2 linked regions of the Tamandua tetradactyla genome follow. The protein of the gene in region 2 purifies or fractionates together with the protein of the main gene of each other region. This does not show direct contact. Links are inferred from orthologs where the notes say so. Each region holds a gene or a part of one and is shown on either strand. Other genes may lie near its edges.

Region 1 (6,878 bases), on a different chromosome or scaffold from region 2:
TGGCAAAATTAAAACGTCACAAGCTTTACATTTTTCAGACACCACTATACAGGCACAAGGAAAGAAGAAAGTTATAATCCATGCTTTCAGCAAATAAATGTCCCACGGTCAGAAGGAGCTCCAGGAAACTGGAGCTCTAAGTCCCAGCTTTGCTGACCCTCTCCCACTCCACTGTTCCCTACATAGGGTGAGCCCTCCTGCTGCCAGCCATAAGTTGAATGCAGACAACCGCAAGCAGGTTGGCAGGTTGGTGCCAGCCTCCAATGGGCTTCTGCCCTGGCTGGGTGCCATCCGGTGACAAAGCAACAGGCAGGCAGAGCTATGCTAAAAACTTTTATGGTCCCTACCAAGAATTCTGAGAGAACCCCAGGCCGGAGAAGGCTGACTCCTAGGTGACTGGAGATGGGGAAAAGTCTTTAAAATCTTCTAAAAATCTCCCTCCAAATCAGTCTTCACCGCACCTTTTTAAACTGCCTTCTCCTGCTTCTATTTGCCCAATCTTCCCACGGATTCTCCTGGCACTCACAAAGCAAAGACTTTGAATTTTCCCACCAACCTATCCTATTTGGCTCCTAAGACATTTCTGTGTGGACCAAAGCTTCCATGTGTTAAAGCTGAGCCAACTTCCGCCACGCAGGGCAAATACATGAGAAAAGAATAGAACATAAACATAACTAGGAAACATCTCCATAAATTTAAAAATCCAGCCACAACAAAAACTCGGAAAAACCCACCAAACTTCCAATAGAGAAAACCGACAGGCTGGGAAGGAAGCCCAGCACTTTCCCAGATCGCTGGCCTAGGAATAAAACCTGGGTTCTAGAGGCTTCCTTCTTAACTAAAGACAGTAAGAATATTTTAAAAATCCTCTACTCACCAGTTGGTTTGAGAAAATCCATCGGGTATCTGGAGTAAGGAGGAGGGGGAGACTCTGGAATTAAAAAAGTAAGAGAAAATAAAGGCCGAGCCATGAGAAAGATAGAAACTTATGATAACAGAGGCATTCTTTAAGCCCAACTGTTTGTCTTAGCTGTGGGGGTTGGAGGCTGGGCCGCGAGGCGGTGATTGCCTTGATATTTAGCTGTCAGATAAACAAAAGAGGCCGCCTGGCGCCAGCCTCGGCGCTCCGCTCCTCCACGTCTGCCGGGGCCGCCGCCGCGTTCGGCGGGCCGAGCTGGAAACCACCGACTCGACCCGGGCCGCGCAATTCACAGTTCACCGGGCGGGGGGCGACAAGCCCCCCACCCCCCGGCCTCCAGACTCCGATCTCAGTGCTCCCCGCCCCGGCCTGCCCACCAGGGGCGCGATTCATCCCGGTCCCGGCCGCTCCGCTCGGCCCCCGCCAGGGGGGAGATTGCGGAGGAGGGCACGGGGTTCCCCTTTACCGGCCCGAACTTTCCTGGTTGAACTTGAGCCGGGGGTGTCTACAAGAGTCCGGCTCGGGGCACCCCACCTCACCCCACCCCCACCCCAGCACAGGCTTGGAGAAAAGGGAAGGGATGGAAGAGGCTGGGAAGATAAAAGGAGACAGGCTACGGGTCTTAATCCCGAAGCCCAGTTCAGGGCCCAGCGCGCTAAGGGGCAGCAACGACAGGGGGGCTCCGGGGCACACAGCTCTCCACACACTTCTATGCTTTTCTCTGCTGGGAGGAAAAAGTAGAGGAGACGTAACTTCTCGGGACCGTTTTTCTTTTCACTCTGGAGCTGGCCGAGTTGAGGTGGATATCAAGTTCGGCCTCCCATCCTAACCCTCTCGGCCCGCCCCAAAGCCCCAAAGCTGTGCGACCAGGGCCGTATCTGAGCCACTTGTGCCTGCCGCGACTGTCCGTATTTCCTAAAAGACAGGAGGCTTTTCCATCCTTTACAACTCCTGCTTCTCCCAGCCTTCTTTGGAGGACTTGGACGAAATCCAACTCGGCCACACATCCTAACGCCTTTCCGGGGGGGGGGGGGCGGGGGCGTGCCCCCTCCCTTTTCTCTGCATCCCCTGGCTGATCCGGAAATGAGGGTGCCTAGTTTTGAACCGCATGTCTGTGCAGTGTGTGCAAGAGCAGTGCTCACAGCCCCCTTGGGGGCAACAGACGAGAAACACTGGAAGGGAACCCCCAGGGAATGTCCCTCGAGTCTCCCCTCCACCCGCGCGTCCCTTTTCCATTTTTTTCCCAAGTCTCCTCCCAGGAAGGGATGTACACTTCCCCCAGGAGTGTTGACAATGGTGGGTGGCGCGGAGGAGGTGAGGAGGGTAGGGGCAGCACAACTTCTTACCTAGTTCGCAGAGTCGGCTAAGGTGATGGGGGTTGCAGCACACCAGCTCGGGGTTGATCTTCCCGTAAGATTCACAGCAACACAGCCTCTTGACTTCCGAGGAATGCCTGAGATCCGGCCACCTGAACACTTTGCACAGCAGGAGGGGGAGCGAATAGGACGAGGGCGACTGCGCGGGCTGGGCGCCGGCGGGTGTCCCCGGACCCAACCTGCAGTCCAGGCGGCCGGGCAGCAGGAGGCACGCGGTGCGGGTACCGCCGCGGGACTCCACCGCCTGGAGCAGCAGCTCCAGCTGCCGCTCCTTCAGTTTCTTGAGCACCGAGTGCGTGAGCGCCTTCAGATCCGCCTCGGCGCCCCCGGCCGCGCCGGCGCCCGAGGCTGGGGGGTGGGGATGGTGGTGACCTTTGGCACCTCTGACCGCCTTGCCCAGGCAGCAGCCAGCCCTGCCCGCGCTGCCGCCGGCCCCATGCGCCCGGCCGTCCGTCGCCCCTTCCCCCCGCGGCTCTCCTCCACCTCCCCCCGCGCCCTCCTCCTCGTCCTCGCCGCCGGGCGCACGGCTCCTCCAGAGACGCCGGACGAGCGCAGATCGTTTGGTCCTGAACATGCGGGGCGAGGAGGCGAGGAGAAAAGTCGTTTGCCGGCTAAGGAGCGAACATGACCTCCGCACACCATGAAGAAGTCGGGCGCCGAGTTGGGGCAGCAGGCGCAGGCGACAGCAGCAGCAGCAGGGGCCCGGGCAGGAGCGGCGGCGGCCCGAGGGGCGCTCCGTGGCATGCGCCAGTCTCCCGGAGGCCGGGGCGCGCGCGGGGTGCGCTGGGCGCCCGCCGGGGGTCAGGGGCCTGCGCTCCGGCTGCCCCACCCCGCGCGGCCCAGGCCCTGCGCGGCTCTCGGGCCCCGGCGCGCCCCGGAGAAACGCGGCCGCCGCTCCCCTGGGGGCGGCCGAGCCTGCCCTCTTCCGCGCCGCCACAAAAAGACGCCCCCCCGCAGCGGCTCCCGAGTGTCGGGCTCGCCAGCCTCGGCTTCCTACATGGAAGACCCGCGGGGGCAAAAAACGAAGGGCGTTCGGCAGTGCCGGTGGAGAGAGGAAAAAGACTCGTTCCCCCTTGCTAAGCAACTTAATTTGGGGGTGGGGAGAAGCAGGCAATTAAAAAAAAAAAAAGCAGGCACGCGATTTATTTTTTTCCTCTATATCCTTAGTAACCGGATCTCCTCGAATTCCGTGCACACGAAGACTCGGGGGAGGGGGCCGAGTGGACTTCACCCCGCATGAGATGTCTGGCGAAATAAGGAGGCTCTCTCAAAACCTAAGAACCAAATATGCAAAGCCAAAATGAAAACACAACCTTCTCACACCCCGGAGGTCTGGGGGCGTCCGGCTGGAGCTGGGGTTTAAAAAAAGAAAATATTTACAAAGTAGAACAAGATGTTTGAGGGGTGGAAAACCGTATCCACGAGTTACATCCCTCCTTTTTTCTTGCAGAGCCCCGCTGGTCTTCTCCTTTTCTTCTGCTCCCCCCAGAAAGAAAATATATGTATGTTTTTAATCCACAGAAAGCTTTGGCTTGGTTGCTTCAATCCTCCGCATCTGGGTATTTTAGGCAAGTCTCTGGTCTTTCCTTCTGCGCTCCCGGGGCCCGGGTCCTCGGCGGGGACTTCCTTGGGGCTGGCGGGGGCGCAGGGGCAGAAGATGCTGCGGCGGCCGCTGAGCCCCGCGGGGCTGACAGCGCGGGGGTGGGCGGCGCGGCGGCGGCGGGCTCCTGGCGGGTCGGAGCGCTCTCGCCCTCCCGGGCGCAAGCTGCTCGCTAGTGCGGGGGCCGCCGGCGCCCCCTCCTCTGGCAGCGGCTGCCAGCCGGGGCTCCCTGCATGGGCCGCTCGCCCCGACCCGGCGGCGACGGCAGGAGGCCCCGGGGTCCTCTCGCCGCCTTCTCCTCCGAGGCTCTCCTCGTCGCGCCCCGGAGCCTCCTTGTCCCCCGTCCGCCCTCTCCTGGCGCTCGGGTCCTTCTGCCGCCGCTGGGGACTCGCTGCGCCGCACTCAGGATCTCCGAGGTCGGACGCTCAGGGGCTCGGCGCCGGCGGGCTGGCTCCGTCTCGGGCAGCTCTCTCCCGCGCGGCAAGCAGACGGAGCACGGCGCCCGGCTGGCTCGGCTGGCGCGGCTCGGGGACAGGCTCCTCCGTGCGTCGAGCGAAGAGAGCTAGTGTGCCCGGGGCTCGCCGCCTCCCGCTAGGCCTCCCGCCCCCGCCCCCTTCCCTCCCTCTTCCCTCCCCCGCCCCCAGCCGCCGCCGCCTCCCGCCCCCCCCCCCCCCCCCCCGGCCCTGTGCTCGGCTGGTTCCACTGCGCAGTGGCGCGCCCGGCTCCGGCCTCGTCACGTGGCCGTCTAGACACCCTGTCGCTTTAAAAAAAAAAAAGCGATTGTGTTTCGCAAACAACAGATCGGGTTTCTAAAAGCTATTTCACCCCCCCACCCCCCGCCACCGCCACCCCCTCTCTGGTCTGCGAACGGGGACTAATGGGGGAGGGAGAAATGTGGGGAGCAGAGGCTCCCAGAATCGACTGCGATTTGGCACGAGCGGAGGAGAAACGCGAAAAAACGGGAGCACCGAGCTGGCTTCGCCGGCGAGTTTTGGAGCGGAACAAGCCGGTGGGTGGCTCGATGTGGACCCAGCCCGCCGAGCTTCGCCCTTCATTCATTCGTTTTGTTTTAAAGGCCCTGGCGGTGGATCCCTTTGGCCGCGCCGGAGAGAAGGGGGAGGAGAGCGCTGCCTCCGTTTAAAAGACATTTACACCGAACTGGACCGAGGCCCTGGGAAGTGTGTGCTGGAGGGAACAGCCGGGCCGCCAAGGGCGGGGAGGCGGCGCGAGTGTGACCTCAGCGGCGGCCGCGCGCTCCCTCCCACCCTCTCCCGCTCCGGGCTCCGGTTTCTGGGACTGCCTGGAGAAATGTGTCTTGTGCACAGCTCTGGAATGCATTTGGCCGGCTGACGAGCTGCGAGGGGCAGCGTCGTGGCGGGAGAAGGGAGAGAGCGGGAGCTCGCCCGCCCCCCGCCAGCAGGTTTCGCCCAGGGCCGGGAATGCTGCAGCCTGGCTACCCCACCTCCTGGCGCGGGAAGGTTACCCTCGGAGCGGACCTGCCTGGGGCATGGCGTATGCATGCGGGCTTTTGCAGCGCCCCCCTGGGCCTTGTACCTTTCAAGGTGCTCAAGATGCTTCGGGTCAGAGTTTATCCCCTGACCCAGGCTTGGGAGAAGCATACACCTAGCAGACAGGTTTCTGCGCAGAAGTGGGTAAGGAATTGCTAGGGTGAAAGCCCAGAATGTATTCACAGAGTGATGATACTAAGAAACGTAGTGATTTAGATATCTACACATCAGTCGCAGCAAGGCCTCCAGTAGCCATGGCGATTTAACCTCATGCATTTTATTCAACGACATATTTTTTTTAACATCATTTCAAATTGTGAGATCTGGACAACAAAGAAACTCAAACGGTGATTTTTAGAAAAGGTGAAACGTACTATTTTCATCTCTCTACCTAGATTATAAATTCTTAAAAGGTTCAGCTTAATTTTAGACAACTTTATAATTGCAGGCTCCCGGAGTCCCCTCCAGCACCTTTAAAGGTGTCTGATGTGGAATAGATGCTTAAAAAATATTTAAGAATCACGCTTAGGTAGGACTTGGGTAGGACTTTTAGGGGCATTTGGGCCACTTTCTCCTCTCCCCAAAAACACACCTTTGGAAACGTAAGTGAGAGGGGATCAGCAACATTGGTTACAAGGTCATCTCAGGCAAGGAGGGCCTGAAGCTTACTAACCTAGAAGACAGCAGATGCCAAGCAGTGTGGAAACCTATAGGAAGTGGCAGAAGCTGTCACTCTACACATTTATTTTATAAGGCTTCCTAGGGTGCAATTGTATAAAATCATACTTCTGCTTAAAAAAAAGTTACTTATCGAAAAGGTCATTGAAAACTGGGTGGTGTGTAAAACTTTCTAAAAAAGCATCCTCTAAAAGACAGCAGCCAAGAAAGTCCTGGAGGAAATGGAGAAGGAGGAGTTTTGCATGGGGTGATCCCATCAACATACACACCTAAAACCAGAAGAGACAGAAATGGGATTTTTGAGTTGTCTGGGAAATGTCTAACCTACTTACCTGAGAAAGGCTTAGAAAGAGACTAGAGCAGAAGTCAGAAAACCTGATTCCTGCAAGTAAAGCAACGTGCACTACTAATGAATCTCCTGGGAGGAGGGCAGCTGGCTGGGGTTGGAGAACTTTCTGGGCAAGTTTCCTGTCCTCTTGGGGTCCCATCCCCTCTCTCACCTCTGGACCTTCCTGGAAGATATTTGCTTTTTGAGAGGGGCTAGACTGGGTGGGAAAATGACAGGAAGAACTTAAATAAACAGAGAGAGCAACTGTCGTACATTGTAATTAAGTGTCTTGACTAAACAGAGACTCTTCAGAATCTTTTGGAAACCTGGTCAGTGGTGCTAAGGCCCTGATGAGTAGTGGCCCAAGTGCACACAGGGCCGGTAGTAGGTGTTTCTGTAGTTGAATCTGACGTCACAGCTTGTCTGCGTGGAACATGCATAAACTTGCAGAGCTATGTTCCCATATAGT
Region 2 (7,284 bases):
CCAATCAAAAGACACATATGGCAGAGTGGATCAATGGTTGAGCATCAGTGCTGCCTATTACAATACTAACAATACCAAATCACAAACTCTTTCTCATTTCATCTTCACAGTGTTATGAATTAGGCAAAGTACGAAATATAAATGTGGTAACCAATTGCTTTTTTCACTGGTCAACTTTCCCAGATTAAATACATGGAACTACAAACTAATACTACATAAACTGCACTCACATATAACAGTAAGAATACTAAACGCAGTAAGTACTAAAGAACAGTCAATCAAATGGAATTCATTTAATCAACAAACACTGAAGTGGAACAGAATACAAAACAGTACTAGGTTCTGAGGGCATAAAGGAAATAAAAGACATGATCCTCACCCTCTGGGTATGTAAAATATACGGAATAACAGTGCAAGAGGGTAGAAACAGACAACACCAACTGTAAGTCCTACACAGTTCAAGCAGATAAAGAATACAGGAAGTCAAAACTGAGAACCTTCCTACTCCCACTCCCGAAAAGGAGCAAAATTAAATATGCAGTGTAAAGGCTAAACAGTAAGGAGTCAGCGGGAAGACAGAAATCACTGGAACTGAGGGGCTGCTGCAGTGAGAAGTGAGACTTCTGGCTGGCGATTTGGAGATAGCCCTAACGTCAGCCTCCATCGTGTGCTCTAAGTGCTGAGCACAAACGGGAAATCTTGTAAAGCCCTTTTGGGAACGGCGGAGGAAGATGAGTTTGGAAGTAGCCCACAGAAAAGACAAGACAGAGAAAGAGTGGGAAGCAATTCAAATGTGAGGGATAATGGGCAGGACTTAGCTGATACAAAGGACTAAGGTGACCCACACAAAGAAAGAAAGATACATATTCAATAGGTATTAATATAAAGAAAACTTGCGTTTGAGGTATGTTTTCCAAGGTAAAGGGAAGAGATGGCAAAAAGGAAGCAACTAGTATTCTCCTATGGGCTATAGATGTGGACATTGTGGTACTAAACTGTGTACTAGGGACAGGGAACCAATTTTTCTAGAGAAATTCATGTTGGAGAGAGCAGAGGCTGTTTTAGAGAAATATAAAACTGATACCCAGACTATAAGGAACAATGGCAAGCTCTTGAGTAAGGCAGACAAATCATAAAAATTTTTTTTAAAAAAGCATTTGAGCTTAACTTCTTCAGCATGTACGAAAAGGTTGAGCTGAAATATCAATATAACCATTCCAGGCAGGTGGACCAGTTCAAGAAGTCTGGGCTTGGAGTCATAAGCATCTGGATTAGCTTTCTACACCGCAAACCAGTGTACTGTGCAAGCCCCTCCCGGGCATGCACTGAGCAATGCTTGCTCTGTACATTCAACGCGCCTGATGCTGCTATGTGAGCACATGAACGCTCCCCGCAGAGCTAGGTGCCAGGATAAGTGGAAAAGAGTTAACAGTGGTACGGAAATGTTATTTAAACTGGATGTGGAACTAAACTGCTTCTCTCCCCATCCAGTTATCTTGCTCCCCTCCTAACACCAATGTCAAAAATCCAGTTTCCTCGAACACACTCCCAGTGTGAAAGGAATGACAACAAAGTCAAACTGAAATGTAAATGGTGAGGCCAAAATCTCAATAATAAGGAGCAAGTGTTCATCAGATGACTGGAACAAAATAGGCTGTGCCTTTTTGGTCTATCTTTGGAAACAGAGAGTCCTGGGTGCAAATCCTTAATCTAGCCTTCTCTGTGCTTCAGTTTTCTCAGCTATAAAATAAGGCAAACGCCACTAGTCCTGAGGGTTTAGTTGTGAGGATGAGATAACGTGCTTTGGTGTACTCTGCATCCACAGCACAGTCAGCTCTTAACAGACAGTAGCTATCAGAGCTAATAATAACTGTCACCCTCGGTCTTCAATTAAGTTTTTAAATTGTCGTTTGTTTTCTTTCCTAACATTTGGTGTCATACTTTCACTGTATATTAGCTGCTAGCACTAAGCCCCTATATTTTAGTGTCCAGTATTTTAATTCTGTTGCTAATACGAAGTTTTTCACTCCTTACCGGAGTAGATGACCACCTATACCCCATCCCGATTTAGTATTTTGGGAAAGCGAGCAGGCGTTCTCCCTTGTAAACCAACTACACGGATGACTGCTGCAAACTACTGCCTGTCACCAAGGATAAGGACCATCACTAGCAAACATTCTTCTTCGAGGAAATAAAAGCATTCGCTCAATTCACAGAGTAATTCTCATTCAAGCCTTCCAAACCGCGCAGAGTGAGCAAACGTTCAAGTTTCTACAACGGAAACGATCAGCGGCCGTCTGGTCACTGGATTCGCTAAAACCTTTGCAGCCGCACCGAGAGCAGACATTCCGCGCATCCCGGGCCTGCTCCTCGCCACACAAAGCTTCGCAGCTCCGTTTCCAAAGCCACCCCCGGCTGGAGAAGCCGCCCCCCTCGGCGGGGTCGGCCCGGCTGACCCGGGGTTCGCAGCCGCACCACGCCCCCTCCCACAGCTGGAGGAGGCCCTCTGGGTTCAGAACTCGACCGCCCCACCCCGCCTCCGGGGCTCCTGTCCGACCCCGCCCCGGGCCTGGGGGCTGCGGGCATCTACCCGCGAGGAGCGAGGGTCCCGGGACCAGGACGCCGAGGGCGCCGGCGCGGCGAGGGGGTAGCCCTGCTCGGCCGGCCCGGTGGCCCCGACCCCAGGAAGGCAGCCCCGGACCCCGGACGGCGCCGCCCGCGGAGCCCGCAGCGGGGGCAGCTTCCCGCGGCCCGGCGCGTCCACCCGCCCCGGCCCAGCGCCCCGCCCTGGCCGTGGCCCGGCCCCGGCGCCGCCACCTGCGCCCCCGGCCCCGCGCCATGTTTGAGAAAGAGATGGAGCGAGCCAGAGGCCCGGCCCGCGCGCCTCGCTGCTCACCCGTCGCCCCCCGGACCAGCATCGCCGCCGCCACCAGCACGAGGAGGAGCAGCCGGGGACGCGCAGAAGCGGCCGCCGCTTCCATGGTCCCGCTGCTGCCGCCGCCGCTGCCGCCACCGCCGCCGCCTGAGGCCCGGCCCCGCCCGGCCGCCGCCGCCTTGCTACAGCCAGCAGCGCCTCGCCCCACCTCCCGCCGCCGCCGCCGCCGCGCTCGGCCTTTTGGAGTTGCTCCGGGGCCGCGCTCCCATTGGCTGCCGTGCTCCAGCCGGCCCCGCCCTCCCTGCTCTCGGCCAGCGGCGAGCGTGGCCCGGTCCGGAGCCCCGCCTACGGGCCCATGGGACACCAATCCGGAGCGACAGGCTCCAGGTCGCTGGCCACGCCCCCAGCGCTCCCTGGGTCTGGGCCGCCAGAGGGGGAGCTATGTGGGGGCCGCGTCTAGCCGGCTCCATCCTGGACTGGTGTGTCTGTGTGTGAGCCGCTCTCGGGAAAGGCCGTGCCCCTCACGACACTCATTGCTTCTAGTCCCCTGGGTAAGCGGCAGCACAGAGCTGGTCCTGACCCCGACCCCACCCGGACCTCCATTCACACCCTGCACGCCGACCCCCGACACCCCCTGCAGCCAGGCTTCAGCTCCCCCAGCCCAGTTCCACTCCTCAACTGCCGACACCATCCCATACCAAAATCCTTCTTCAGTGCCCTTCATCGGCGACTTGGTCCCACTGTTTCCTCCTGTTAGCGCTCACCCTCAATCTAGCACCGACCACCCCCCTCAAATTCCAAGCTCAGAAAGTCCCCAAATCCTGGCCTCAGACCCCTGATCCCGAACTCAGATACATTCCCAAATAGCCTCCCACCTCCCCCTGGAACAAGGAGGAGACCCAGAGACCCAGAGCTGGGCTTCAAACCACCCTCCTTCCCCCTCCCCACTTTCTGATCCAGGTTGGAAAGGGAAGCCCCCCGCTCCCCACGTTGCACCCCCAAAGAAGGAACATTCCCCTTCTCTGCACCCATCTCCCACGGGGCGGAGGGAGAGCAGTCAGGGTATCCTGAGCTGCCTCTAACACGCCTGCACGGTAATTTCGAGGTGTCACTAAAAACCCGAATCAACTCAACTACGTTTTCATTCTGAATTCCTAAATTTGCAGTGAGGCGCTCCACCCACCTTCCCACTGGGACGCCAAAATGAGCTCCAGATTTGTAATTCTTCCTGTCAGACTAGTCCTTTCTTCAGACCCAAACACAGTCAAAAGAGGCTGTTACATAGAACAGAGAACATTTTCCCGCAGAACCTTTTAAGGAGAAAATTTTATTTTCTGTGTGATTTGAGCCTGCAATTAAATAAACGTTGGTAGCAGGAATCCGCAGCAGCTTGGACGATCGATTTATAAATTACTTTAGAGCCACTCTGTGAGCCTTTCCCGGGCCTGTAAAGACTTCCTTCAGTGAGCTGCAGAGCGGGAGGGGTGGGGGTGTTGGAGCAGGATCTGGGCACTTCCCTGGCCAGGTCATTTAACCTTTCTGAGCTTTTGTGTCTCGTCCATAAATTGGAAATAATATCTACCTCCCAAGGTTACTGAGAAGATTTGATGAGATTTGGGAGTTCCCCCATCCTCCTTTAGGTGCCAGTTCTAGACCCTTCCTCCAGACCCTTCACCTGCTCCTCCACTCTAGACCACACCCCCCGGCCAGGTAAGGGACAGGTATCCTTCAAACCACCTACTCAGGCATGCAGCTGCTGCTGAGCTCCACGGCTGCCAGCAGGGGGACCAAGCCGGAGAAACAGCTTCTGGCAGCCTCCAGCCCCAGCCTGCTCCCTCAATTCCAGTTTTTTCATTGGAGACTTCATGGGTAAGTCAGGTTCTGTGACACCTGAGGTCCCTAGGCTGCCTTCTCACTGCAGTTCTTCTCAGGGTCTTCATAAGAAGAGGGCTCAAGAAATGTTTATTGTTTGAATGAGTGAATGAATGATTGACCTCAGACAAGTGACTGTTCTCTGACCCTTAGGTTCCCCATCTCTAAAATGGGGATAATAAGTTTTTTTGCGAATGGAAAGGATTGAATCACATGTCATGTGTCTCTTAAATGATGTAATGTGTCTGCAACAGCGTCTGGAACATAATAAATATTTAGTTAATGCCATTTCCTTTGCCCATCCCCTTTCCGGTTTTGTATAATTCTCATCAGGATTTTTGCTCATGTTAACCCCTGCCTTTGCTTTACAGAGCCTCAGATAGGGCATCTTCCACGACATACCTCTGATTCCTTAGTATTTCCATTGAACTGACTGAGTCCAACAGGAAAGTGAGGAGTGGGAAGGAAGAACAGGCTATTTTAAAACATGATTTTCCTGATATTAAGAAAAAAGTACCATGAGCCACAGATCCATAAATAGACTACATTAAAATGGAATAATATATTTTAGGTTAAAAGTGGCAGCTCTCAAGCTTTAAAGTGTCTCCAGATTACCCGAGGAGTTTTTAAAAATGCAGATTCCTGTATCTTGTCAATCCCCCATGCCCCCCACCCCCACCAGTCTGGGAATCTTCTTCAGTTGATCTGGAAGGAGTTCCAGGAATCTGCATATGTAAAAAGCATACCCGATGATTCTACTACAGATGGTCAGGCCACACTTTGAAAGACACTCTTTTGGAAAGTGTGACCATAAAATTCAGTAAATAAAAACAGATGAGCTTATTACACCTTTTGAGAAAGGATGGGCAGTGGAAAGGAGCCTCTGGCTTTGAGGTCTTGCAGACCTTAGTTGGAATTCTGACTGTCACTTACTAGGTGTGAGAATCGGTGCACACTACTTAATCTCTCTTTGATTTAGCATCCTCTAGTGTAAAATGGGGTGACACCTACTTACATATTTGTTGTGAGATCTAAATGCACTATTGCAATAAGGAGTCAATCATAAATGCCAACTACCTCCATAGTCTCCATACCCTCTTCAGTGGGCCTACAGGTTGTCTACACCAATGTCTTGATTTAAAGGGGGAGAAACTGAGAACCAGTCCCCCAGTAAGTCAGCTGTGTAACTAGGACTAACGAGATTCTTACTCCAGTATCTTATCCCTGCACAATGCTACCCCTCAGTCTTCATGCTGAGTACACTGTTTGCCTTTCCTTTTGCATTATTCCTTAAGATGTTTTCCCCCAAATCCAGAGCAGAGACTGCCAGTTGCCTAACCCATATCCATTCCTCCATTCTCTTTATAAGAGAACTCTGATTTCCTTTGGGAAAGCAGTTAACCTAGCTAAAAAGTCTCAATTTCCCAGGCTTCCTAGTGGCATTCTGGACAGCGAAATATAAGCAGAAGTCTACCAGAGGGTATTTTGGGGAATGATTCTCTTTTCCTCGTTAAAAAAAAAAAAAAAGACTCATTGCATTCTCACCTTCTTTCTGCCTAGAATACAGCTGCAATACCTGGAGGTGCAGCAACCACTTTGCAAATATAAGGATGGCAGTCATAGTTCGCAATGGTAGAGAATAAAGATGGAGAGATTCTGGGTCCTTGATAAGTCTCTTGAGCAACTGTACCAGCACTTAAATGCTAACCCATGGGCATCTTAATGTGTGAGAAAAATAAACTTTAAAAAAATTTTAGAATGCTGCAGTTCTATACATATGCCCATCCTAACTATTTTGTCTATTTTATTTCTGTATTATTTTTTTAACTTATATTACTGATTTATACAATTGTTAGCTCTTGATAACTGATGGTTCTCTTAACTGTATAACAAACCATCTCAAAACTTTATAGTTATCCTGAGGCTTACTCTTATGAAGCTTATGTAGATAGCGGAGAAGCTTAGCCTACCTATAGGTATGCGTAAGAGTTACTTCTGGAGGACCTCTTTTGTTGCTCAGATGTGGCCTCACTCTCTCTAAGCCCAACTCTGAAAGTGAAATCATAACCCTTCCTCCTACGTGGGACATGACATCCAGGGGTGAAGGTCTCCCTAGCGACATGGGAGATGACTCCCGGGGATGAATCCAGCCCTGGCACCGTGGGATCAACTATTCCTTCCTGACCAAATGGGGGGAAAGAATTGTAATTAGTAAAGTATCAGAGGCAGAGAGAGTTCAAATAGAGTTGAAAGGCTACTCTGGAGGTGGCTCTTACACAAGCTTCGGGTAGACCTTGCTACCTATGATAACCTGCCAACCCCCAACCAAGACTGTTCCAGCCAATCCTGAAGAACACCTAGGGCAATTTATAAGATTCCACAAGGGTTCCAGGCACTAGAGTAACTTTCCAGAAACCTAATACCTCCAGATGGTTCCCTGGACCAGATAAGTCCTGAAACCTAGAGGGCCCAGCCCCTCCAGAACATCAGATGATTCCATTTCCCTACCCCATATTAGTGACAGACCCATCCAAAAT

Evidence for each region. The genes of interacting proteins can lie anywhere in the genome.
Region 1: the proteins of TGFBR1 (region 2) and SMAD7 purify together in Homo sapiens (affinity purification with western blotting; 19 studies listed by BioGRID). This does not show direct contact. The link is inferred for Tamandua tetradactyla from reciprocal best matches to the Homo sapiens genes TGFBR1 and SMAD7.

Annotation. Positions count from the first base shown.
Region 1 is NC_135344.1:34,120,466-34,127,343, reverse strand, and holds the start of SMAD7 (mothers against decapentaplegic homolog 7), read right to left. Parts: upstream 3,019-6,878; 5' UTR 2,870-3,018; coding exon 2,266-2,869; intron 932-2,265; coding exon 878-931; intron 1-877. UniProt on the Homo sapiens protein: Antagonist of signaling by TGF-beta (transforming growth factor) type 1 receptor superfamily members; has been shown to inhibit TGF-beta (Transforming growth factor) and activin signaling by associating with their receptors thus preventing SMAD2 access.
Region 2 is NC_135328.1:16,291,541-16,298,824, reverse strand, and holds the start of TGFBR1 (TGF-beta receptor type-1), read right to left. Parts: upstream 3,016-7,284; 5' UTR 2,982-3,015; coding exon 2,897-2,981; intron 1-2,896. UniProt on the Homo sapiens protein: Transmembrane serine/threonine kinase forming with the TGF-beta type II serine/threonine kinase receptor, TGFBR2, the non-promiscuous receptor for the TGF-beta cytokines TGFB1, TGFB2 and TGFB3.